Mytilus edulis: one gene and its partner. The protein of the gene in region 2 purifies or fractionates together with the protein of the main gene of each other region. This does not show direct contact. Links are inferred from orthologs where the notes say so. Each region holds a gene or a part of one and is shown on either strand. Other genes may lie near its edges.

The links.
Region 1: the proteins of protein NEDD1-like (region 2) and gamma-tubulin complex component 4-like purify together in Homo sapiens (affinity purification with mass spectrometry; 3 studies listed by BioGRID and IntAct, with this or other methods). This does not show direct contact. The link is inferred for Mytilus edulis from reciprocal best matches to the Homo sapiens genes NEDD1 and TUBGCP4.

Annotation. Positions count from the first base shown.
Region 1 is NC_092347.1:34,713,332-34,725,922, forward strand, and holds the start of gamma-tubulin complex component 4-like, read right to left. Parts: upstream 5,477-12,591; 5' UTR 5,421-5,476; coding exon 5,346-5,420; intron 4,580-5,345; coding exon 4,444-4,579; intron 4,130-4,443; coding exon 3,969-4,129; intron 2,240-3,968; coding exon 2,183-2,239; intron 1-2,182. Other genes in the region: large ribosomal subunit protein uL4-like, read left to right, coding at 9,256-9,258, 10,954-11,128, 11,603-11,848, 12,307-12,431. UniProt on the Homo sapiens protein: Component of the gamma-tubulin ring complex (gTuRC) which mediates microtubule nucleation.
Region 2 is NC_092344.1:14,863,167-14,876,762, forward strand, and holds the start of protein NEDD1-like, read right to left. Parts: upstream 6,427-13,596; 5' UTR 6,162-6,426; coding exon 6,014-6,161; intron 5,022-6,013; coding exon 4,927-5,021; intron 4,493-4,926; coding exon 4,376-4,492; intron 3,809-4,375; coding exon 3,668-3,808; intron 3,319-3,667; coding exon 3,089-3,318; intron 1-3,088. Other genes in the region: methyl-CpG-binding domain protein 4-like, read left to right, coding at 6,516-6,565, 13,171-13,587. UniProt on the Homo sapiens protein: Required for mitosis progression. Promotes the nucleation of microtubules from the spindle.

The DNA of each region.
Region 1 (12,591 bases), on a different chromosome or scaffold from region 2:
AGGATGTACATGATGTATGAAACTTCACAATCGTATAAAATGATAATACTATTTGAATATAATGTAAATACACAAGACTAAAGTAATTTAATTCTGACACAAAATATTTTTGTAAATAACTGACCACTTTTATGTTATATCAAAATGCTATATACTATACACAACTACCTGCATGACTTTAAACTTGGTTTACAGAGGTCACAGTATATACCCTGTAGAAATTGATGCATATTACAGAAATAACACATGCAAAGCTTGTCATAGGGCCAACATTAAAAATATCTTTGTTTCCCCTCACCCGACTGAGGTTGTTAGGGTATAGGTAGGTAAGTAGGCAAATTATTTTATTTTATTCCTTGATATGGTTTTCTATATTGAATTTGTATAAAATTCAACAGGTAAGGTTAAAGTCAAGAAAAGTGGGGTATTCCCTGTATTCTAATTCAGTGTACACCTCAGTTTGTCTGGTGTTAAAACAAAACAGTATACAGGGACCTCCTTTTTTCCTATTCATTTAATGTAATGAAATCTACAAAAGTGCATATTCTACTTGTGATAACAATGCTTAATGATAGCAAGTGTTTTTTTAAATAATCAAAGAGCAGAATGCTTTGAGGGATACAATTGCCATAGTTTTCATTGACACATGTAGAGCAGTTCTGCCAACTTTTCATTAAGCAAATGTGTGAGATTTGGCCAAAATTGAAAAGATCAAAGAGGGAAAAAAATAGATCCAAGGATACTGCCGCAAAAAAGCATGAACATGCATGAATCTCGCAGACAGACATAGAAAGAATCCCATGAGTTTCAAATTAATCAATGGAGCGGGGAATCCAGAGCAACCACTCAATCTGATACTCATTGAAATCAAGAAAACTATACGCATGCGCATTAATACATAAACAAACCCGTGACTTGCGATTTGGAACAAGAACGTTTATTAAATGATATGATGAATGGTTCTCCATTTCTTTATCGCAATGTACAGTATCAAATATCAGTTTCATAACGGTAAAATCTGGAAAAACTCTACTTCAGTTCTTATATGACAGAAATAGAATTATCGGAATTCAGAAAACTCTCGCATTTATCAAAACTGGGGAATTACCTCTGACGTGTTTCTAAATTTATAAAAACACTAAATATGAATACTGCTAAATTCTGATTTTCCGTGTTGCTAAAAACACGCATATAGGTCAAGGGAAATATCAAACATGAAGATTATGAAAAGAACATTACAGGAAAGTTGTTTATGTTCAATCATTTTGCCTGTTTTTGCCTTTTAAAGCAAGACAATCATTCATAAGAATCTGAGATGTTGCTGAATGTTTAGAATAAAATGGTTGACGTGAGGGAATACAGCCCTGAGTCAGCGGTAAAAATCTACAGATTGCTTGAAAGCAATCGTATCCCAAAAAATCAAGTTTATTTCAAGTCAATTTGATGACTAACTCACAACAAAACAATTCCTTTGTTCACCAATTCATTCCTTGATCATCAATTATGAGATGACAAAAAGATACATGTATGTTAATCACTTGGGAATTAAAATTCAATGAATTAAAATCCAATAGAAGTAAACATATTAATTTAGTTATGTTCAGTTACACCTGGATCATGCAGCTTGGTCAATTGATTCCTAAACAAAGATTTGTATGTTTTTTTTCGAGTTCTAGAAGAAACACGGCTTCACTTTATATTCATGTTTTGTATTTCCTAAAATACTGTTAATAAGTATTTACGAACAAGAATGGCCAATAAAATTTTTCGGGTCGCGGTGATTTTACCGGGTCGGTCGTGTGAGGGGCAATAAACAATATTTTATTTTTGGCCTAATATGGTGATTATTTAACAAACATAAAATATCAGTCTTTATGGGAGACTAAAGAAAGGCAGACAAAAAGTGCTTTTTCCTGAAACTGACAAATCTGAACTTAAACAGTTTGGGTATAGGTTTTTACTCCCAAGTTGTTGATTTCTGTGTCATTTGGTTTCTTGAGGAGAGCTGTCTTGTTGGCAATCACATACCACATCTGATCTTTATAACAATATGAATAGAAGATGTGGTCTGGTTGCTACAAGGATTTTATAGGAATTATAATAATAGTGTGTTACTAATCAGAATTATTTTGAATGTTGTGTTGGGTTTAATACCAGTACAAAGTAACCATTATAAAAATACCTTGTGTGATTTGATCTGTTCTACCATTGCAGATAATGCTGGAAACAGCAAAAAATACTGAAAACAGAAACATTTTTTCTACCATATACACATAAAAACTGGTCTAATTGTCCTCCAGCAATTAGGAAAGGTCATGTACCAACTATGTCACATATAAATTTCAATTTATTACAGTGTAATGCAAAGTGTTCAATACTTAATATTATTATATTCTTCAAAGTCAAACCAATTGCCAAGTCATAAACATTAACATACTACATTTACAAATACAAATTTTTAATGAGATTTGTATATAATATATATATATATATATATATAATAAAAACAGAAGAAAATTACAAAATAAGAAGAGAAGAAATAATAACGCACCTAAGAAAACGTGGATACAATAACTTGTCCACTGAAGTTCAATTGAAAAAAGTCGACAATTTAAACCGAGAAGATCTATTACAGTACAAACGGAAGAAAGAAAACAACAGGGTACCCTTAGTAATTACTTTTTCCAAAGCGCTTCCAAATGTACATTCAATTCTTAGAAAAAATCTTAAAATTCTCCATCAATCCGAAAGACTAAAGAAAATATTCCCCGATCCGCCTATCGTGGCATTTAAACGTGATAACAACATAAAAGACATCTTAGTGCACAAAAAGCATAATTTACTATTTTATAAACAAACTAATGGATGTGGACCATGTGGTAAACATTGTGCATTATGCTCACATATAAATGAAACCAAGGTATTTTGTGACAACACCGGCAAAGAATATACCATTCAGGGACAAATAAATTGTAAAACCGTAGGCGTGGTATATGCAATTAATTGTACAAAATGTGAAAAATGTATATATGTAGGACAAACGGGTGATACACTATATCAACGAATGCTATTAAACTTTTCAAAAATACGAACAAGGAAAACAGAAGCTCCAGTAGCCGACCATTTCATTCAGAAGAATCATTCAATGACAAATTTAAAAGTTACCGCCATAGAAAGAGTATTTGGGACAGAAACTTACAGAAAAACTAAAGAAGCCTTTTGGATAAAGAAATTAAAAACTTTAGAACCTGAAGGACTCAACACAATGTATGAACGATAATAAAAATATTTATATTAAAAAAGCGAAAAACGCGGCAATTGAACGTCATAAAAGTTATTATAACGTAATGTATTCAAGCAATGTAATTGTTGTTTCAATGTTGTAATTTATTCCAATGAAGAAGGCCGTAATGTCCGAAAAGTATGGGAATTTGTGTTATAGTTTTTATTATACAATCATTCAGAGACTTTATAGATATATATATATATCAAAAAATAATGTGTGCAATTTTTTTTCTTCAAGTTTTGATACTTTTTTAATTAGAAGAACATTTTATTAATTTTGTTTCTGGTTAAGGGAAAGTAGTATATATACTAGAATGGTTGTTTTATATGTAATCTTAATAAAATTGAGAATGGAAATGGGGAATGTGTCAAAGAGACAACAACCCGACCATAGAAAAAAAAACAGCAAAGGGTCTCCAACAGGTCTTCAATGTAGCAAGAAATTCCCGCACCCGGAGGCGTCCCTCAGCTGGCCCCTAAAAAAATATATACTAGTTCAGTGATAATGAACCCCATACTAATTTCCAAAGTGTACACAAGAAACTAAATTTAAAATAATACAAGACTAACAAAGGCCAGAGGCTTTAAAGTATTATAAACAAACAGAGATGTGGTGTTTATGTCAAAGGGACAACATTCCAATCATGAACAACATAAGCACGTCATGGTCTATAAATACACACTTGAAATAATGATCTGTAAAGGTGAGATATTGTGAGGTCTGGATCTGCTAGTATTTCCATCTCGAGTCTCTGTAAGGATGCCCTGTAATCCTCTAAAACTTTATCTAACCCATGACAGAAAGACTTCAGGTACAAACCATGGATCTCAGACTTTCTTTTGTCTGCAAAGAAATCATAAATTGTTTTAATTATTAAATACCATTTCATAAGCTACAACTGTTAATTCATAAATTATTGCAAGCCATGAAATGAGTATCGCAATAACAAGCTCGCATTTTGATATCTGATACAAATAACTGTATAAAGATTTTTATTAAATTGCAAAAAGTTGTCTTTTTCAAATTTGAGATGTCATGTTCTACTGGACCCCTTTAATTTTTCAAACCATCCTTGCAATATATAATAAGCATGATAAGTGCCAGTAATGACATATAGTTTTATAAGATTTAAATTTCTCCAGGCAAAGGCAACTTACCATTTGGTTGAAGACTAAGATGTCCTCCATATTGTCTAATGAAGTTATTAAAATCTCTGTAGAATGTTCCAAGTTTACAAAGTTTGTTCAGTTGATCCACCTCTGATGGTGATATGAAAGGAACATCACTCAACACCTACAATAATGAAAATACATCAGTTAGAACAAAGACATGTCTCATCTGCCTCAGCATGAAGAGAAGAGTGGATATATCTGGTTAACTTTAAATCTTCTAATTAGCCCTCCATCATATATAGATGTCCTGATTATGACAATAAACTGTCAACTGATCAATGAAATAATTTGAGTTCATGCAAATAAAGATAAGATAATATCCTGGGCTCATTAATATTGTCAACTTATAAATGAAATTTTAAAATGCCAATCTAATAGACCACTTTCGAGTTTGTCCTTCACCAGAAAACAAATCATCAATTGTGCCCCGTTAAGACGTTGTTTTCCAGATTATTCTGATAGAGGGGATCACCGATATCCCTGCTTTATTTATGTTCATCAAGCATCTTAGTGATCGTCATAGTGCAGGATAAACTAGAAATAATGTTTGTTCTGTAGGTACTTAATCACAATTCCTATGACAGAAGTGCTTTATATCAATTTCCTGAAGTTATATTGCACTTTTAATGAGAAAAACATGGCTCATATCTTAAACTTATATACTTAATATATATTATTTCAAGTAGCATATATAACACCATATTTTCGGGACAAATCAATTTGAGTGTGCAAAAATGTACCAAAATATACAATTTGTTTACAAAAATATAAATAAAATAAGAAATGACAAATGTTTAAACGTGTAGCCTGTTGATAACTTAAGTGGCATTATCATGTGCTAATTGTCGTGAAAGTAATCAATAATGCTTTTGAAAATTATACAGTACTTGTATCCCGTCGCCTTTGTCAATAAATACACCACCAGAGTGACCAGAAAGAGCGAACAGAACTTCATGTAACATTTTGTGTTTGGCGGTAGTGAACCGAGTTGTCTCCACTTGAATTTTTGCTCACACAGTTCCGTTTCAAAATTAGTAAAAAATAGTTTCTTACAATTTACGAAGAAATATGATTGATGGTATATTAAAGTACATGTTTGCTTGTGAATAGATACCTATTAGTTGTGGTATCATAGTTTTACACTTTTCAAATGTGTTTTGAACTTCAAGAAAAAAAGCTAAATACCAAAAATTTACAAAACGATGTAAGCTTATAATTTCAAAACGGCCAAAATAAAAGGCAACAAACCCCCCCCCCCCCCCCCATAAAAATCAAATGGTAGCTCCCTAAATCCTCATTGATTTTATTTATCGAGATATAAGAAATACATACCTACATACATATAAAGCTACATATCCAAAGCGTTTGACTATACCCGTCACATTTTTCTTAGACAACTAAAAAATGTATACTCAAGTCATCATGGATTATAACTAACATATTATATATCCTAGATCTTGTGTCTGTCAATTCGCGAATAATCTGTTTACTTACAGTCAGTGTATAAATTATTTTACAGAAAATCATATATCAAACAGAAATATTCGGGAAAATCATGAATCAATTCACACCTGAGACTACTATAACACATATGTGTTATAGTAGTCTCAGATCACACAGTGTTAAAGTTGGTTAATTGTTAAGTACCGACATGGGAGCAAATTTACCATGAAGGAATCTCTCATTGTCAAATTTGTCAATACTATTCCAGTATCAGTGACATTAAAAAAAATATCATATTATATACAGCTCTTGTTTTATATAATTATGCAGAGATAACACAACTGCTTTTTATATGATCTATACTGAAAAACTCATATCCCGCAGTCACAAACTTTTTCGTGCGGAACCAAGGTTATATCCACATGATATAATTTAAAGTTCAATAGACTGAGACGGTTTCCAAAGTACCTGTATACTAAATAGCTAGAGGGAAGAAGGATATTTCATTAAAATTAGCTAACTTTCAATCTCTGACCATAGAAAATTTTCTAATCCTTCCTGGTAAAATCCTATTTTTACATCTGTTACATTATGATTTATTATAGTAAACAACACACTATGACAATTTTATATGACTATGATTCCTCCTGCAAATATTTTATAAAATGTTCCTGGTATTTCAGACCAAAATTTTAATTTAGTGTAATCACGATTGTTCCCGTTTACTGAAAATTTATCACAACATGTGTCGCTTGTGGAGCAGGAATAAATTATCCTTCCTGATCACATGAGTTCATTCTGGGATTTTGGTGGGTTTCGTATTGCTCAATCTTCAGATTTCTGCTAAGTGTTTTGTAGACTATTGTTTGACTTTTCCTCGATTCCCTTTTCTGACAATTAAGCCGGAGTGTGACAGTGTTTATTCAATTTATGCTTTTGTTTTTTTCTATGACACCTTCTCCGTCTTATTGATGAATTCTATAATCTTACTGTAAAAATTTTGGTTACATCGTACGTCTGATCAACAACACTCGTACATTTTTAAAAGAAAGTAACCAAAGATCCTCCTCACTGCAATGCGATTTGAGTCATAAAGGAAATGAATCACAGATTACTTTTCCTAATTCTTTCTGACATGTAAAGCTTTAGAAGACTAGCGATATTATGGTATCTTCCGCGGGCTCCACATCCATACAAGCGATATTTTGGTATCTTCCGCGGGCTCCCCATCCATGACATCCATACATAGATAAACCAGACATGAATACAAACGACTATGCATACAATCAGAGGGTAAAAATGAAAGAAGGAAAAAACACCGATAGGATGAAATGTCATGCACAGGACGAAAAATTACAAACGAATTGTTTAGTTAACTTTTTGAATGTATAAAAGTTTTTATTTCTTCTTCAAAAATCACCTTTATAAAACAAATGCAAATTTATATGCAGAGATAAGATATATTAGAAAATTTATGAAATTGTTTTTAACTATGTTTAAACAAAAATTGTATCATAGTTTTCATCATCATAAAGTATCTTTAAAAAACTGAACTTGTCATGTTTCTTATACATAATTTGATTTAATATCAAGATTTGATCTTTGATTATTTTTTATATGTGTGTGATATGACTATAACACACATATGTGGTATAGTTTCAATGATACCACAATTCTAAGTTCTATCTTACTCCTTTTCGGCTAGACAAGGATTTATAATTTATAATATAATTTGTTCTTGGGCTAGACAATTTAGATCTTTTATATCAGTAAGGAAGAATATATGTATCCCCATTTCGTGTACATATTTAAAGATTGAGAATGAAAATGAGGAATGTGTCAAAAAGACAACAACCATCGAGATGACTTCTGAAGACTGCGGCCGAGGCCGATATAAACGTAATTTAAACTAGGAATAGATTGTGAGCACGTGCAATTGAATTTTTATATGTCTGTTGATATTATGTTAGAGGTTAAAATATATGTTAATCATCGCTGTAACATGTTTAAATACATGATTTTTTATGATTGCCCCGGAAATAGTGAACCGCAAACAGTCCAACCTGTTTAACCAGGAACATATATTTTAACTATATAACGTAAGGGTACCCAAATTGCACCGAGTACCCAAATTGCACCTATTTAGAAAAAATAGCAACAGAAATCCTACAAGATTTCCTAGAGACTAATCACTTAGTATTTTTATGATTTGATACTATGCACGTCTTTTAACATAGGTAAACATATTCAGATATACACAAAACGTTCACAGTGTTTATCAACAGATGGACTGTTTACTGAAAAAGCAAAATGTACGAAAACGTCATCATGCGACGTCATCAAAGCGTCATCTTCTTAAAATTAGCAAATACAATATATTATAAGTATCCATTTCGTAAAATATGAAGAATAAGCATGGACTAATATCCACTTGTTCAAAATATTTGAAGAAATTAAACAAAAGCTCGGTTATTAGACTTTTGACGATGTGAATTTAACGGCATGGATGCAATTTGGGTACTCCTCATTACAGAATCATGGATAGTTTGGAGGTTGATTCAAACCCATTTTTTTATGACTCAAAATGGATTCAAAATTAAATTGGTGTACCTATACAATAAAGAAGGATAGGGCTACAAAATAAACACAGTATGGACATTTTTTTCTTGATCATAAAAAAACGTAGGTGAAAAAACTGTCAAAATAGGTGCAATTTGGGTACCGTCACGTTACTATTCCCAGGTTTAACTTTCATTGATGACATTCTTTGTCTTAAAATAATTGAACTGACGTATAGTACATGTGTAACCCATATCCAGCTAAGGGGTTCAATTGAAGTTCACATTAATACGGGTTCACATAAAATTGAATTATAGACTTGCAAGTTCATTTATGAGCTTATATTGACAAATTGATGAATAGAATAGAATAGAATAGAATATCTTTTATTTCCATAAGAGGTACCCCGCTCAAGGGGCATAGTGCATATATATGACAATATAAAGTTACAATTTACACTGTTCAAAATCAGTACAATAAAGCAGAACCACAAAACAGTATGCTAAAGTTAGCATGGTTGGACATTATAAATATTGCGAGTTATTGTGTAGACGATGTTTAGTAAAGCATCGCTATCCTATAATATCATCATTGGCAACTGAGGGGATATGCAGAGCCAGTTTTGAATAAAAACATCTTTACTTTTACGAAGATAGTTGTTTAATGCTGTATTCCTTATTATTTTGGTTATTAGTTGCACGGGAAAATAGTCCCGAAGATATCCATCCGCATCCTTTTACACGTTATCTCGAGCAGAGCGACCACGTTTTTCTGCTCTCACAAATATTATTAAGCATGGTACGAAAACTTTATATTTAACATGATAACATTAACTTGTTGGTCTAAAATGTCAAAATAGTCTTCATTTAAACGCAATATACTAATCGATCTCTTCAAATTCCTGTAATAAAGGACACCGGCATGAATTCATAAAAAAGGGGGGATATACATCGTATCGGGTCACATCGTCCTCATTCAATTGACCATATTTGCAATAAACATGCAACTGTTCAGGAGTTATTGTATATGATACACAGTCATCCATCTTGACCATACATTATATTGCAGAGTGTTCTGTAGGTGAACCATATGGAATTTTGACCGTTACTTTTATTTTGATATCCAATTTTTGCAATATTAGGTTATTATGTCCCTAACCTGTTATTTGATGTTTATAAAAGTTTTGATATTGAAAACTATTTTTTATACTTGATTAAGATTATAAAACACATTGCCCTACAAGTAGTGAAGTATAAGGGTTCAAGTGATTCATACATTTATTGTTATATTTAGCCTTTTTAGAGTAGTCCATTTGCCAATTCGCCGTTTCAGAATCTAATGCATCCTGGGTAATATTTTCAAAAGCGTACACCAAAGCATTTTGATTGGTTTAAAACGTTATAAACAATGGAAATTAAACTAATGACGTAACGTTATTTTCACTTTGGGGTACGAACAATGAAATTACCCATGATGCTTTAGATTCTGAAACGGCGAATTACTGCTTTGATTTTGTTTTAGCACCCTTTTTAAGCTTCCCTTTGTTAATCGTAGACTGGTTCTATATCGCCATTTATCGGACAAAATTTGGTTTTGTCAATGCTATATCGGACAAAATTCGCTTTTGTCAATGCAAAGCATGATCAGATGAAAAGTATCTAATTTTTCATGAATAATAACTTTTGGTTACAAAAATACAATGTATATTTTAACTATACAACAAATTAATATAAGCAGATAAGAAAAACATAAATATTACATTTATACGCACAGGATAATTTGCTCTTTCCCCTTGCCCAAGACCACAATTAATGACCCTGCTTTTCGTTCTCCACGAATATAGTTCCTTTTAATTAGAGTGTATTTTTCCATAATTTTTTTCATTTCCCTTCCTCACTCATTTCTTAGAGTTTTTGGGGTGGAAATGAAAGAAGAGAGGTGAATTAAATTTTTGAATGTTGTATTTAAACTGATTTTGATATAGAATGAGTGATTATGCCAAGTGCAAAAAGGTAATAATTACATCTCTTGACTTGTCAATAGGGGTATGGATGTGTATTGGCTAAATTTGTAAAAGTGATTGCTTCAATCTTTCTGAATTTTGGATATATATTTGGACTAGTACTATACATTACACACACTAAAAAATTGACAAAAGTGCATGTTGCAATTTTTTTTAAGGATACAAAACGTTATAAGGAACTGATGAGGAATTAATTGTGATCTGTGACTTAAGCTCTCCATTGTCAATAAAAATTTGTCCCTCACAAGGGAGACAACAAAAAAAGAGGTCTCTAATTACAGGGTCAATTATGGGAGTTGGTAAATAGACTATTGGTTTATCATATTATGATAAGATGCATGTGTTTGAAATTTAGCTTTACTCACTTTACTGTGTTTAATATTGTAGAAGGGATTATTAACTGGTATGGCATTGTTTTAATCTATTTATGTTGTATACGATATGAATGCAATACTTGCTTGTTATTTTAGGCTGCCGCAGCGAGACCATTGATATCGGTGTACGGTGAGAAGGGGGATGCATCGGGAACAAATGTCACCCTTCCAGCTGTCTTCAGAGCACCAATCAGACCAGACATTGTCACCTTTGTACATGCACAAATGAGATTCAACTCCAGACAGCCATATGCTGTTAGTGAGAAAGCTGGTAAGGGTTAATTAATTAGATGCATCTTCCAAGAATAAATATCAATTGTAAAAAATAAAACCTCAAAGACTAATCAAATAAGTCAGTTTTGCAAAACGTTCCATTTGAAGACTTTGTGAAGGTTCCAGTTGAAAAGAATTATCAAAGCTATTTTGGATATCTGTTTAGAAATGTCTATTTAAAATTGAAAATTTGGAATTGATTGTTAACATGAATTTTCAAATATTTCATGTGTAGAAAGCTGAAAGATTTGTAATGACTTCTTTCTATAATTAATATAAGCCAAGATATAAAGTTATAAACATTTATTTTTTCATGCAAGAAAAATGTTTTGTTTCCGATATATATATAACAGGTATATATCCTTATTCTCAAATACCTTCTGCACATCTTTGGTACAGAGATTAATACATAGGACTTTAAAAGTGGAGAAAATGTAACATTTTTAATATATAAATATCTTGTATAATTTAGGTCACCAGACTTCAGCTGAATCTTGGGGAACTGGAAGAGCTGTAGCTCGTATTCCCAGAGTCAGAGGAGGTGGTACTCACAGATCTGGACAGGGAGCTTTTGGAAACATGTGTCGTGGAGGTCGTATGTTTGCACCAACAAAAACATGGAGAAGATGGCACCGTAAAATAAACACTAACCAAAAAAGATACGCTATCTGCTCAGCCATTGCTGCCACTGGAGTACCTGCTCTTGTTATGTCCAAAGGTAATGTTATCCTTGAGGGTATTCTTTCTTTTATGCACTAAATGCAGATGCTATTATTGCCCTAAAAATCTTAATATATTAAAGATTACAAATTCATTTTACTTTACACATACCAATGAAATTTGTGGATGGAAATAATATAATATTACCATACTAAAAGTATCAATCGAAAAAAGCCATCCATTTGACAGGCACAGCTTTGATAAGAAAAAGTTGGTGGCAGTCAACTGTGTAAGTGTTCAATACATAATCATGGTAGTTTATATCTATAATGCTAGAACTATTTGAATGTTTTCACTGCAGTATAAAACCTACAAAACTTATCAGAACGAAACTTAGTGACATAAGATTGATCCAGCAACATTCTTGAAAAGAAGTTTATATCAGCATGGTACGAAGCCAAACTTTTATAATATGTGATCATAGGAGGGAGAATTTAATCTGTATTTATTCTGTAGGACACAAAATTGAGGAGATTCCAGAGGTCCCATTGGTGGTCAGTGACAAAGTTGAAGAATACAAGAAAACAAAAGAGGCTGTTGCACTACTTAAAAAAGTTAAAGCCTGGAATGATATACAGAAGGTAACTTCTAGAGTGACAATCTTAATTTTGTTTGTCTATATCTTTTTCTAGCATGATAATTATTAACAGTATAGAAATTTACATAAAGAAGGAAATATGTTTCTTGGGTCATATTGATGTATAATCTAAATTATAACTATAACCATAACATAAATTAAAC
Region 2 (13,596 bases):
GCAGCGTGTTAATTTTCACATTTTCATTATAAATGTCGGTTAAAATTGTCAAGTTGCTGATCACTGCTGAGAGGCCGGTCAGTGTTACGCAATAACTGATAATTAGTTTTACCTGAGCCACGCTTATCTCAGCCTTCAGTGTTCTCCCAAGAAATTTTGGATAGCATCACATTTTGCGTAAATAAAAATAACTGTATTTTTTTTAATTTCGTTTGTCGCATCGCGTTGATGCTCTATTTCTTAATATGTTTTAGTTTATATTGTTCAATTCATAACTGAGAATACAATTAAACTATAACCACAAAAACAGTTGTTTCAGTTTATGTTTTCTTTATTCATTTACAGTTACAGAATTATTTTTTTCCTCTTGTGCCAAATAAAAATAAATATGTGGTTTCAGTTACCCAACAATAAGTATTAGTCAAATGAATGAATGGTTCATTATAGATCAACCTGTATATATACAAAACTAAATATCTAGTACACAAAATTAAATATTTTTTATAGTATATCAAGTAAAGATAAAGTAGCAAAAGTAGCAGAAAAAATCAATTTAAAAACTTTTTTTTATCATGTTTATGACATTCATTGTTTCATGGCACTTAATGAATTAGTTCCAGTTGTTTCTTATTTTTACATTAAAATGATATGTATTTTTAACAAAGTTATTTAACAAATAGTCTGTTAAAGCATAGTATTCTCTCTTGGTATATTTTTTCTGTCTACTGTCCATCTGTTGTCATTATCGTGAAAATGCGGATTTTTGTCGTATCTGGTCCGGTTCCGATCCGTAGTTTACACAAAAATGTGCAATGGCGGCTGTAGAAAAATTTACGAAAATGAGTCCGAGAATAAACATTGTTTGAGAAGAGATTGTGAATGAATAAGACGCTTTTAATGCATTAAATGGATTAAACATATAAACTTAAGCCAATTATGATAACTTTTTAAAGAAGTATTAAACTTATTTTAGCTCTAAACCAAAATTCTCGCTCTCCTATTACCGGAAGAGAAAGAAAGTAATTTTTGGAGAGTTGCACAAATAAACGACCTTTTTATTTAAAAATTGATTCAATCTTTGAAATTTCGTAATATAAAACGTAGATTTCGAATTGTTTTGTGATTGCATTTTTCCATGTCGAAATTGGTTATTGCAGACACGTGGTATTAGTCGTGTCTCAAGTGTCAGCTTGGGATATTCGCATCCAAACAGTTATCACCCTGAGGGCAATTAACACCTAGCTATTTAATCTCTTAATTGCCTTTAGTGTCCGACTTAAAGGGATTACAATTAAAGGTGATATAATTTTTATGATCATAATCGATAATAGATGAAAGTTCAAAATTGAGGACAAGTAAAATAGCATCTTCAAAATAATTATAGCGTCGCGGGAATTATTATAGCATCACGGTGAAAAAATATAGCGTCGCGGTACCGCGACGCTAAAACGGCCTGGGGAGAACACTGGCCTTATCGGACTATGTTATCATGTAATAGCTTACATGATCATCAAGAAGATAGATATTTGTAGAAGAAATTTTAAAAAAATAAAAACTTCAGTGCAGAAATTGAAGAAATAGATCGCAAATACATTGTATTTACGCATTGTGTGTGTGATCACTTGACCATTTAAATAACGAATTTTTTCATTGGTCGAGAAGAAGAATCTATTTTAACACGACCAATGAACGTGATGAATACACATGATAAATTTGAATACACATTGCTAAAGATATTTACATAATTACGATAAAAATTATGAATGAGAGTATTTGTAATTGAAAAAAATAAAATAAACTTTGATTAAAGATAAAGAGAAGTGATTCATTTTAATATAAAGTGAAAAAATGTTACTTGCAAGGTAAATTGTTTCAAACTGTCGTGTTTTTAGAAATAAAATGATCATTGAACGTCGATCGTCAAATTCCGTTCGCCAGCCAGAGATATGTGTTAACAATAATACACACGGAAGCGTAATGTAAAACTACGGAAACTTGTCAGCTGTTCATTAACATATTTTTGTTTTAAAAAGTTGTATACCAAATATGATCAAATATCTTAACCATATTCGATTTTACTAATTCTGAATGAACATGTTCTCTGCAAATAACAAAAGGGTGACTTCTAAGCAAAAGGCAGATGATGGAAGTAGAAGTTTTTTTTCAGCCGCTAATGACTTCTCATGAAAAGGGGAATACACCTTCCTCTTCACTGTCAGTATAAGCAGATGTCATTGCTTCTCCTAATCCCAACCTAGCTTAAGTTTTAGCAAGTGATAACAGCAAGCACCATGTTTCTGGTTTCAATGACAAGTGGCTGACTGAGTTTTCATGGCTTACAAATGTTAAAGGGGGTATAAGCAAAAGTTATTGTGAGAGGGGGTTTTCAACCCTAAAGAGGATAAAGACAAAATTGAGGAACAGACTGTCCAACAAAATAACAGTATCTTGAAAAATTATCCCTAGAAGGAGCAGAGAATACAGAGATGAATATTTATATTTTGACTTATAAATAACTTTTGTGTTTAAAATCAATTTATTTCATATATATATATTCTTGTAATTCATTATTGAATACTCTGCATTATCAAACACATAACACAAAGCATTATAATTCATATTGCATGTCATGGATTAATGACTGATTGCTTCAGATCACAAAAGTTCACTCTAAAAAAAGAGTTACGCGCCCTTGAATTTTGCGCCTTAAAAAAATCCTGGGGAGAACACTGATGGCTTTTTGTTTGTTTAACAGGGTAAATGTTTTATAGATGTGATACAAATAGTTATCATAAGAAACATGAATCTAAGGTTCTTCAACTTTACATTATGTGATATTACTATGCTTTTTCTTCTATTAGCCACCATTTAAATACTGTTAAACTTTTCTGAGATAATTTCATTTTCATTACATGGCTGTTCACAAATTAACATATTTTACTAAGCAATAGAAGAAATTAAACGTTAATGTTTAACAAATCCCATAATTTATTAGATATGAATAACAAACTATTTTACATCTAAAATATCTTTAGAAGTTATACTACATTTTTATACATGCAAAACCTAAGGAGAATGTAATCCTTACTTTTTCCCTTGAGTATCATAGCATACAATTCTTTTATCAAGTCCTACAGACATCAGCAATATATCATTGATGGGAGAAAAGTTCAAACCCGTGGCTGGTGCAATGTGAGAACTTGAGAAGCTATGAAGCAGTCTACGTGTATTGATATCCCACAGGTTAACAGCACCATCATCAGACACAGACCCCAGTAATGACTTTCTAAATTTACTGTACTGTATCTGACGTACTGTCTGAAAAAGAAAAAAACATTGAGTTACTTTATCAGATTAATTTTGTACACAAAAATGTAAATATTTTTAATATTCTAATAATTTTTGCTCAATAAACATACTTTTTAAGTTTTAAACGGTACCTTATTTCAGGGTTTTATTATTTGCATCTATCAAATAAACTAAAAATATAGTTCTTATCTTTAAGCATTTAATTTCTATGTTTTCCCCTCCTTACAATATCCACATAAATTAAAAATCCCACAAAAATAACTTTTTTTTAAATGAATCAACAGCATTCAAATTATGTATGTATATAGATTTAGAGACATAATTAATATTATACAACATAACTTAAAAATAGGAATACCTGGCACTTTGGTGCAACCATTGGACTGCAACCTTGACCTGTAACCACATTAAACAAGATAATCTCTCCTGTTTCAGAACCAGATGCAATGTATGTGTCATTGCAGTTAAACTGGGCACAAGTCACAGGTCCTTTATGGTCCTGTAAATTAGACAAAAATAAATCTTTAGAAACAACTAGCACAGGTAAATTTTCTAACAGTCAATCAAGTATTGACAAAAAGTTTAGTAAATTATTTAGTCCATTAAAAAAGAAATGAAATTTATCAATAATTCTGTAAGACAAGACTGGTTCTGAAATTTTCCATTTGTAATACAACCAATATATTATATCAATCTAAGGGGGCATAACTGTAAAAATAATATAGGATTTGAGCAGATTTTCCAAGTAATTTACATTTCTAAGTGCATAGCTTCATCCAAATTATTCATTTCAATCTGTTTTAGAACTCAAGTGTATGTCTGTGACAAGAAATCACATGCATATAGTCATACATTATAATGTTTGTTTTCCATGATGACATATTCCATACACCATGTACACTCATAACTTATACTTTTTTTTTTTTAAATTTGTCTGTGATTTCAGATCCCATTCACTCATATACCTTATACTGTTTATGTATTTTTTTGTGATTTCAGACCCCATTCACTGATACCCCAAACTGTTTATGTACTTTTTGTGATTTCAGATCCCATACACTCATACCTTGTACTGTTTTTTTATTTTCCGTGACTTCAGATCCCATACATTGATACAGCTGTCTGTTCCACCAACTAACAGGTATGATGAAGTGGAGTTAAAATCTACACATAAACTTCCTGCCTGTAAAAAAATAGTCTTCAGAACATATTATTTATTTAAATTCAATATCACATGGACTTCTCTTGTCAAGCTGTGGAGGATGTATAAATAATCAGAATTGAGATGCAAAATAAATGTATCATATAGGGAAACTAGCTAATTAATGCCAAATTCTCTAAACATCGGACTTTTTGCTGTTAAAAAGCAGTGGAGTGCATTATTTTGGTCCTCTTTATTCTATTTATAAAAATGTTGTGTTGGTTAGTAAATACATGTACAGATTTACTTTCAGGTATAACAATAATGAAGATGCTAATAAAACCAGACACAAATTGCACATGTACACCTACTTTAATCTGTTGTTTTGTTAAGTTTTCATATAAACAGCAAGTAATTAATTCCATAAGTAACACCAAGCATAATTGAAGAAATGGCACATTGTTATATATACTTACAGGACTATCAAATTCTGTTACTGTTACGGCTGTATCTTTCACAGCAGTAAAACAGATTTTATCACTCTTAGAAGATGCACTGCATAATAACAAATCTGGCATGAGAATTAAGGAGTATCATATAAATATTGACATTTTACACATACACAAAATTTAATTTTTGGTCAAATTGTGGAAATATGAATCTACATGTACATGTAGATGTATTGCAATAAATATGGGGGTTTAAATATACACCTAATTTAAACAAGGTTTCATACATGTCATATATACATGTATAGATTATTGTAAATGTATTTGAAAATGAAAGTAAAAATGATGGATTTGCTGAATATTGGTCACTGTGAAATATGTCTAAATATGAAAAAAAAATAAAGTAAAGGAAGTCAGCTACATACATGTAAAGCTGAAATTTTCATAAATGAAGAGATATAAAATGAACTGATTGAGGCCTGATTTATATGGATTAAAAGCCATCAGTCGTCTCAAGAAGCAACAAAGCAGCAAATCATTTTGGACAGAAAAATACCTACTTTAGATATAGGAAAGCATCCATTGGAAGCCAAGAATTATCTTGGACCAAGGTTTTTAAAGACTCTGTGACAAAGCTAAATTACTTCAAACAATAATCATATGATACAATAAAATGGGTGTAATTAATAACATGTCATTAATTTAATGACGAAGCTGAGACTTGAAAGATTCAGGACTCGTGGTAGAGACAGTATATAGTTGGACAAGGTGTTAACACTCTCTGATTGTTCGAAAATAGAACGACTCCTTCCATACAGTTGTTTTACATGAATGAATTCCAAGTGCCATTTTGTTTTTAATTCTGGAAGGGCATTCATTTAGTACATGTATAAGCTTGATGGATGTATCAATTTTTATATAAGTTGTTCTATAGCTTATATAATACAGCTGTGTTTCCTTTGTTCTTGTACAATGTTGAAGGTTAGACTATCCAAGATGTTCCAGCATGTCACTAACACTAACAGATGAGGTGCTGTATTTGAAAATTAAAAACGTTTTGTTTTTTAAAGTAACTTAAAAGTGAACTGGTTTTAATTAAATTATTAAAGGATACTATCACTGTTCCATGTAGACTTCTTGCCATTCCATGCAATGGAACTGATGTTCTGTTCATGCGGATTAAACTGTCTCACAATAGAGAAGTTATTGGTGTCCCAAACTTTTATATCATCTCCACATGAAGCAAGTTTTAAAGCACTCATTTTGTTTACATTACAATTTTTCTGTCAATCACTTTGAACCAAGATGCAAAATAATTCGTTTTACAGTGTTTATTTCCCAGTTAAATATATCCCATTTGAGCTCACAAATACATAAATGCATTGTTATATCAAAATACCATTTTCATTTACAAAGAAAAGAGTCTGAATCATAATAATCATTATTTTGTGTTTTGTTTTGATTTGTTGATCTGCAAAATCCCGCCATGATCTTGACTTCCGGTTTACTCATTTCAATTATTTATTTATCGGAATACGAACTTATGAAGGCGCACTTGTTTCGTTTTGTTTACTAAAATATGTAAATTCAGTTAACCCAATATATGGACAACAAACATGGAGAACGACGAACCTCATGAACAACTGTTTGTTGCAATGCAACCATCGTTAGTTTTTTAATGCTAATGAGTATTTTACTTAATTACTGTAGTAAACGTCAGGAAATTTTGAGCACTTCACAAAAAAATTGCACTATGAGTCAGATGAATGGAATACATTATGTTACATGTTACAAAAGTCTGACTTAAAACCAAAAATATTATTAAACTAGAAGTAAAGATTATGGACAACAATAAGGAACTTTCAGTATTTTTAGCTGTATCATTACTCGTTTATATCTTCCTCAAGGGATTTAAAAAGCAATTTCCCATAATTTACCAAATATTATAACAAAGTCCTGTTTACATGGTTTACATGACAAACCAAAAACTAACATGATAATTTAAGGTTCATCATAACAAACGGACAAATATGACTGTATTTACATGCCAAAAATTACTCTGAGTACAGACTTACATGCGGAGTTGGAAAATTTTTAATGCCTGGCATCCACTAGATATAATAAAGTTAAATGCATTTTGTGTTTCAGAAAGATAAAATGTCTTTTTGATTTTGATGGGCATTTTTTTTCCTTCATGCAAAAGGTGTAAAAATTAAATAAGTTGTGGTACAACTATGAGATGCTCCCTCAGGTAAAAAACCGGTTTGTATTGTTTTGATTGTCCTTAATTGACATGGACAACAGGTATCATCACAACTTTAGGTGAGTTAAAGAGTTTATCTGAGTCAGTGAGTGGACAGTATCAAAGTAATTCAGGTGTTTGTTTATTTTTACACCTTCTGCAGAAAGGAAAAAAAATGCCCATCAAAAACCAAGAAAGATTTTATCTTTCTTAAACCTAAAATGCATATAACTTTTATATATCTAGTGGATGCTAGGCATAAAAACTTTCCAAACAGCACAGGTAAGTCTGTACACAGAGTAGTTTTTGAGCTGAAAATACGGCCATATTTGTCCATTTGTTATGATGAACCTTAAATTAAAACTAAGCTCTACATCATTGACGAAGGATTCAAATTAATAAGTTGACAATTTAGATGAATAATTACTCTTTAGAGGTTGAGACGATTTAAATGCACATCTCAAGGTGTTGTATATATATATATCTATATTACTAAATGCTATCGTATATAACGTAACGGTACCCAAATTGAACAGAGTACCCAAATTGCACCTATTTAGCAAAAACAGCAGTGCAAATTTCCTAGAGACTAAACAATTATAGTATTTTTAAAATGCTATTGTATAACGTAACGGTACTCAAATGGCACCTATTTAGCAAAAACAGTAGCGGAAATCTTGAAAGATTTCCTAGAGACTAAACAATTTGTATTTTTATGATTTGATACTATGCACGTCTTTCAACATAGGCAAAAATATTTAGAAATACACAAAAAATTCACAGTATTTATCAACAGATGAAGTGTTTACTGAAAAAAGCAAAATGTACCGAAACGTCATCTTTTTAAAATTTGCAAATACAATATCTTTCAAGTATCCATATCTAAAAAAGATGAAGAGTAAGCATGGAAAAATATCCAATTGTTCAAAATATTTGAAAAAATTAAACAATAGCTCTGTTATTCAACTTTTGACGATGAGAACTTAAGCATGGATGCAATTTGGGTACCCCTCATTACAGAATCATTGATGGTTTGGAGGTTAGTTCAGACCAATTTTTCTATGATTCCATATGAATTAAAAATCAAATTGGTGTACCTATCAGTGTTTTACATTCGGCATTTAAGCTGGGTGTGCCGACCACCTTCTTTTCAAAGCCGACCACCTTTCCATTTTAGGAGGTGGTCGGTTTTTTTTTTCAAATTCCGGATTTTTTTCGGTTCCGCACCGTAAAAATTTAAATACTAATCGCGCCTCGCAGTTTGTTTTCATTGACAAAAATGGCGGATCGTCAAATTTCAATGTTTTCTTTTATTAATCGGGGGAATAGAAAGGCAGATGACCAGAAAAATTCTAAGCCATATAAGTCAACTAAAACGGATAGTTGAATTGAAATTGTTGAAATTGAAAAAAAAGTATCAAAACAACAGAATCGGCACACAGGTGATCGCGAAGATAAACAGGTTGGGAACAATCCCAAAATGAGGGATATCCCTCAAATGAGGGACTGTCCATCAGGAAAGGGGTCATATTACTGTGGAAGAAACTCGGAAGAAAAGAAAAAGAAAAACTTAGATTTATTACCTTAAAAGGGGGGAAATCGTTTTATTTGGTACAACTTTTCTACAAGAGTGTCCATAATGAGTTAAAAAGGCCCAAAACAAATATGTGCTCATTTGTTTCTCTTTAAATGTACCCCTCAATGCTCATAAAAGGAATAGTCATTACATTAAGAGGTTTCCCCTCATCTGTTTCCTTTTAAATGTACCCCTCATAAAAGGGATAGTCATTAAATTGAGAGATTACCCCTCATTTGAGGGGTGGTGATAAATATGAACAGGACTTTCAATGGATATCGTCACAGAAAGATATTACTGTTCTGTGTGCCAAAACAGCACCAAAGCAAGGAACAGGACAGAAACTTGGTTTGATAGGCCATGCATTAGCAGACTTCGTAGGAGGAGGGAGTCCTGCAAAAGCAATTATGAACTGCTATCCGATATGCACGAAACTATTTTGTCAAATCATTTAATGAAAGGCTGGCAGTGATAGCAGAAGAATGGTTCAATTCCATTAAATGTAAACACAATACTTATCATTCTATTTGTGACCCGAACCCACAGTAAAACTGAAAAAAATAAACCCGGTTGAAAATGTTAAAAAAATCAACCGGTTGCAAGTGTTTTTTTTCAAAACACCCACCTTACCTTAGTGAAAAAAGGAGAACACTGGTACCTATATAATAAAGAAGGATATATGACAAGCACAATACATAAAACAAATAAAACATAAAGCACATCATGCAAAATAAATAATGTTATCAAGCACAGCAATTAATAAGCACAATTAAAGCATATACAGCAAACATAAAATGCAGATAACTAACATTCATGCAATAGCTATTATAAATCACTAAAAGTAGTTCACGTATTTAGAACACAAATAAAAAATTATGCCTAAAAATTTAAAAGCCAGAGTATACAAGATACATGTAAATAAATAAACTGATCTACAGCTCACTGAGATCTGCAGGAGGAACACTGACACGAACTGCCCTTCCAATTACCAACCAAACTTTTAAACTGACCCAATGGCATTTCTTCCCTCATTTTATTTTGCAGTTCGTTCCAGAGTTTGGCTCCTGCATATCTGAATAAGTGTAGCCCATGGGTAGTTGTCCTTACCCTGGAAACATATCTGCTATGTTGTTATTTCTAAAAGAGTAATAACATTTTTTTAATTTCAATAAGTTCATGTAGATATAATGGACATAGTTTATTAAAAAATTTATATACCTCTATTGCTATTATTCTAATTCTTCTGATTTCTAAACTTGGTAATTTTGATTTAATTAACAGTTGTTGATAAGTACTACAATACTCTTCATATATAATATAAATCTTAGGGCACGCTCCTGTATTTTCTCTATTTTTCTGGTATTACAATCACCACAGAAGTGCCATATTACAAAACAATGATAAATGAATAATATATTGTAAGTCTACCTAATTTTGTTAAATGTTTACCAATGAATACGTTTAAGTACATGTAATTGTCTTGATGCCTTTTTACAAATGTTAGAAATATGGCATCAAACTTAAGTTGATATTCAATTGTAACATCAAGTAATTACACTTCTTTTTCACTATGTATAATATTACCATCTAAATTAAATGAAATGTTTTTATTTTCAGTTTTCTTGCCTATTGCTATTGCCTGAAACTTGTCGGGTTGGCCTTCATATGATTTAGACTGAACCAATTTATTAGCTCTAAGCTTTCTTTTTCTAAAATATTTACCACAGTGTAAATCAGTGTGTGAATATGACAAAGTATTGTCATCTGCATAATTATACAATGAACTGCTTGATACAAAATGAATAATGTCATTCAACAAAATATTAAAAAGTACAGCCTACAGGTCCTAAAATAGAGCCTTGCAGCACACCTTTATATATATCTTTCTAGATACTTATATCTAAACTTTTACACATTGTTTTCTTTTACTTACATGTAAATAACTGTCTATCAAGCTTAAAGCTGTTTCAGATAGTCCATATGACTTTAGTTTAAAATTAATAAATTATGAGGAAAGCAATCAAAGACTAAACAGCAGCAATATATTGATTATCATCAATAGCCTTCTTCCAATCCTCAATGATTTTCAAAAGTGCTGTCTGGCAGCAGTATCCTGCTCTAAAGGCAAACAAATATGGGTGAAATATATTTTTAATTTGAAAAAAATCAACTAGCTGCTTGAAGATGGCTCTCTCTAAAAACTTTGATACAACTTTGATGCATTGTGATGTCACTTTTTCCACCGAAAAAGCATCCATACATGTAGTACGAATCCATATGACTTACAACAGACGTATTATCAGACCATGTCTTCATAGTCATAGATACATGGCTCAAGATCGTAATTTTGTTCATTTAATAATAGGAATCAGGCATTACCTGTGAATGGGGACGAAGAATGTATGATTTTTTTTTTTTCATTCAACCATATTTTAATTTCAAAATGGAAATACCGTAACGTTTCCGATTTTGGTTCTGTTGTTAGGGATTTTAGTTGTGACATTATTTTTATTATGACGTCATATTCAATGTAAACAAAGAAACGCTGTTCAGGGAACGTTTTTTTTTCATATCAAACAATTATTAAAAATGAGATGGTTTATTGAGTTCCTTCCTATATTTTACTAGACTGATAAGTACATATTTTATTCAAAGTCTCATGCAAACAAGACCGGAAAAGGAAGTAGATTTCTGTGCAGATGCGGAGATTTAAAAAAGTCTGAAAAAAAGTTAACGATTTTGAGTTCATTAGTAGAATGAAAAATTTTCCTGATTTTTTTTAATTTTTAATTTTATTAATTTTTCTACCATAATTGGGTCTTCGTCCCCATATTAAGTTCTTTACTTAAATGAACAAACTTACCAGCCAAGGGGAAACTGGACTTGAGGGTATAAACAACAAATTAAATATTTTTAAGCCATACCTTCATATATTATGACATAACCAAATAAAAGTAATTAGTATATGTGTGGTTCAAGTTACTCGACGAACCCTAGTTTAAACCCCCTGATCCTAAAACTTTTTCATTTCTTAAAAAGAAATTTCCAAAAGAAAAATTTTGAGGAATACATTATACATAATTAAACCCACAGACCAGGCAGTCAGATGAATTTCCATCAGAAGTATTCAATATGGCTAAAATGCAACAAAATCTTAACAGTATGCCAACAAAAAATAACTATAATTGTAAAATATCTGTTTTTTTTAACAACCAAACACATTAACTGGCCACCCATTGATTGGTAATTTGCCACATTAGATTGAGAGCAAAGCAACACCTGAGTCCAGTTTACCAATCACATGGAAAATGGTGATTTTCCGGTAGTGATGTGTATATTTATACTGGAATCTTTCACTGTAAACACACGATTTTTTTCTAAGATGGTAGTTTACAGTTGGTCGTTTATTTATATTTAAAATAATTTGCCAGAACAAAAAACTTGAACTACTCCTTCACACTGTTAAATTGTAGGACTACTGTCTACATGTACATGTATTTATTTACCTTGACATGAATTGTCAAATGTTCTCTTGAAAATTGCTGAAAATAATGAATTTTTTAGATGGTCCAATTCATGACCTTATAATTATCTTTCAGTGGTTATTTAAAGCAATAAAATAAAAAAAAAATATCGGGAAAATTCCCGAAATTTTCATTGTACTAATGAACTCAAAATCGTTCAATTTTTTTGATGTCATGTTTTGAATTCCCACATCTGCGCAGAAATCTACAATGTACTTACTTTTCCCTGTCTCGTTTGTATGAAACTTTGAGTAAAATATATATATTTATCAGTCTAGTATAAAACAGGAAGAAACGCAATACCAATTTCATTTTTAATCATTTGTTAATACATGTAATTCCTTGATATGAAAAAACGTTACCTGATGATAGCGTAGCTTTGTTTACATTGCATATGACGTCATTACTTAAATAACGTCACAACTAAAATCCCCAACAACAGAACCAAAATCGGAAAAGTTTTTTTTTTTAACAAATATTTAAGTTACAAAAAAATAAATCATACAAACTTCGTCCCCATTTTAATACAGGTAATGCCTGCCTCATATTAGTATTCAAGAATTATGTTTTTAAAAAAAAAAGATTGAGACAAACAGAAATCACAGCACCAAACAAGAAATTATGATTATTTGTCAATATAAAATTGAGATGGAAATAGGGTACGTGTCAAAGAGTCAACAACCTGACCAAAGAGCAGAAAACAGCTAAGGTCACTAATACTGTTAGAAAAATCACCCCAAGTTGGACTTCAGCTGGCCCCTAAATAGTAATGTTTTATATCTGTTTGCCACACCTTCCTTTCGGAAATTTGGTTTACCTTGTCTTATTTTTCTTTGAATCAACTATCCTTAACGTTCAGTTTAAAGTTCAGTTTAATCATGTTTATTGATGATTTTAGTTAATAGTTTTTAATTTATTTTTATTTATAGTGGGTTTATGCCATTAATTGCTGACCCAGAGTTGGAAGATAAAGAAGAAGATGACGAGGATGATGATGATACTGCATCAGACGAGGATACAAACATATCAAGTGGTCATGTGACATTTGAGGAAGATATGGAGTATCAGATTGATGACGATCCTGACGATAACCAGGAAAGAAGGTCAGACGACGATAGTCCGGCACCAGATAGTTTGTCGATTGATTTCAGTACAAGATGGACAGCTATTCCTGGAGAAGAAGCTGTTGGTTTTACTACACAGGAGAGGGAACCAGATGAGGAGGAGGAGGATGGTGAGGAGGCAGACAATTCTCCAGGAGACACGGCAGAATCACATGTTAATGATCATGCATATGCAGATCCTGGAGACGTTGTTGAAATACAAGCACCACCTGAACAAATAAGGTATTGCAT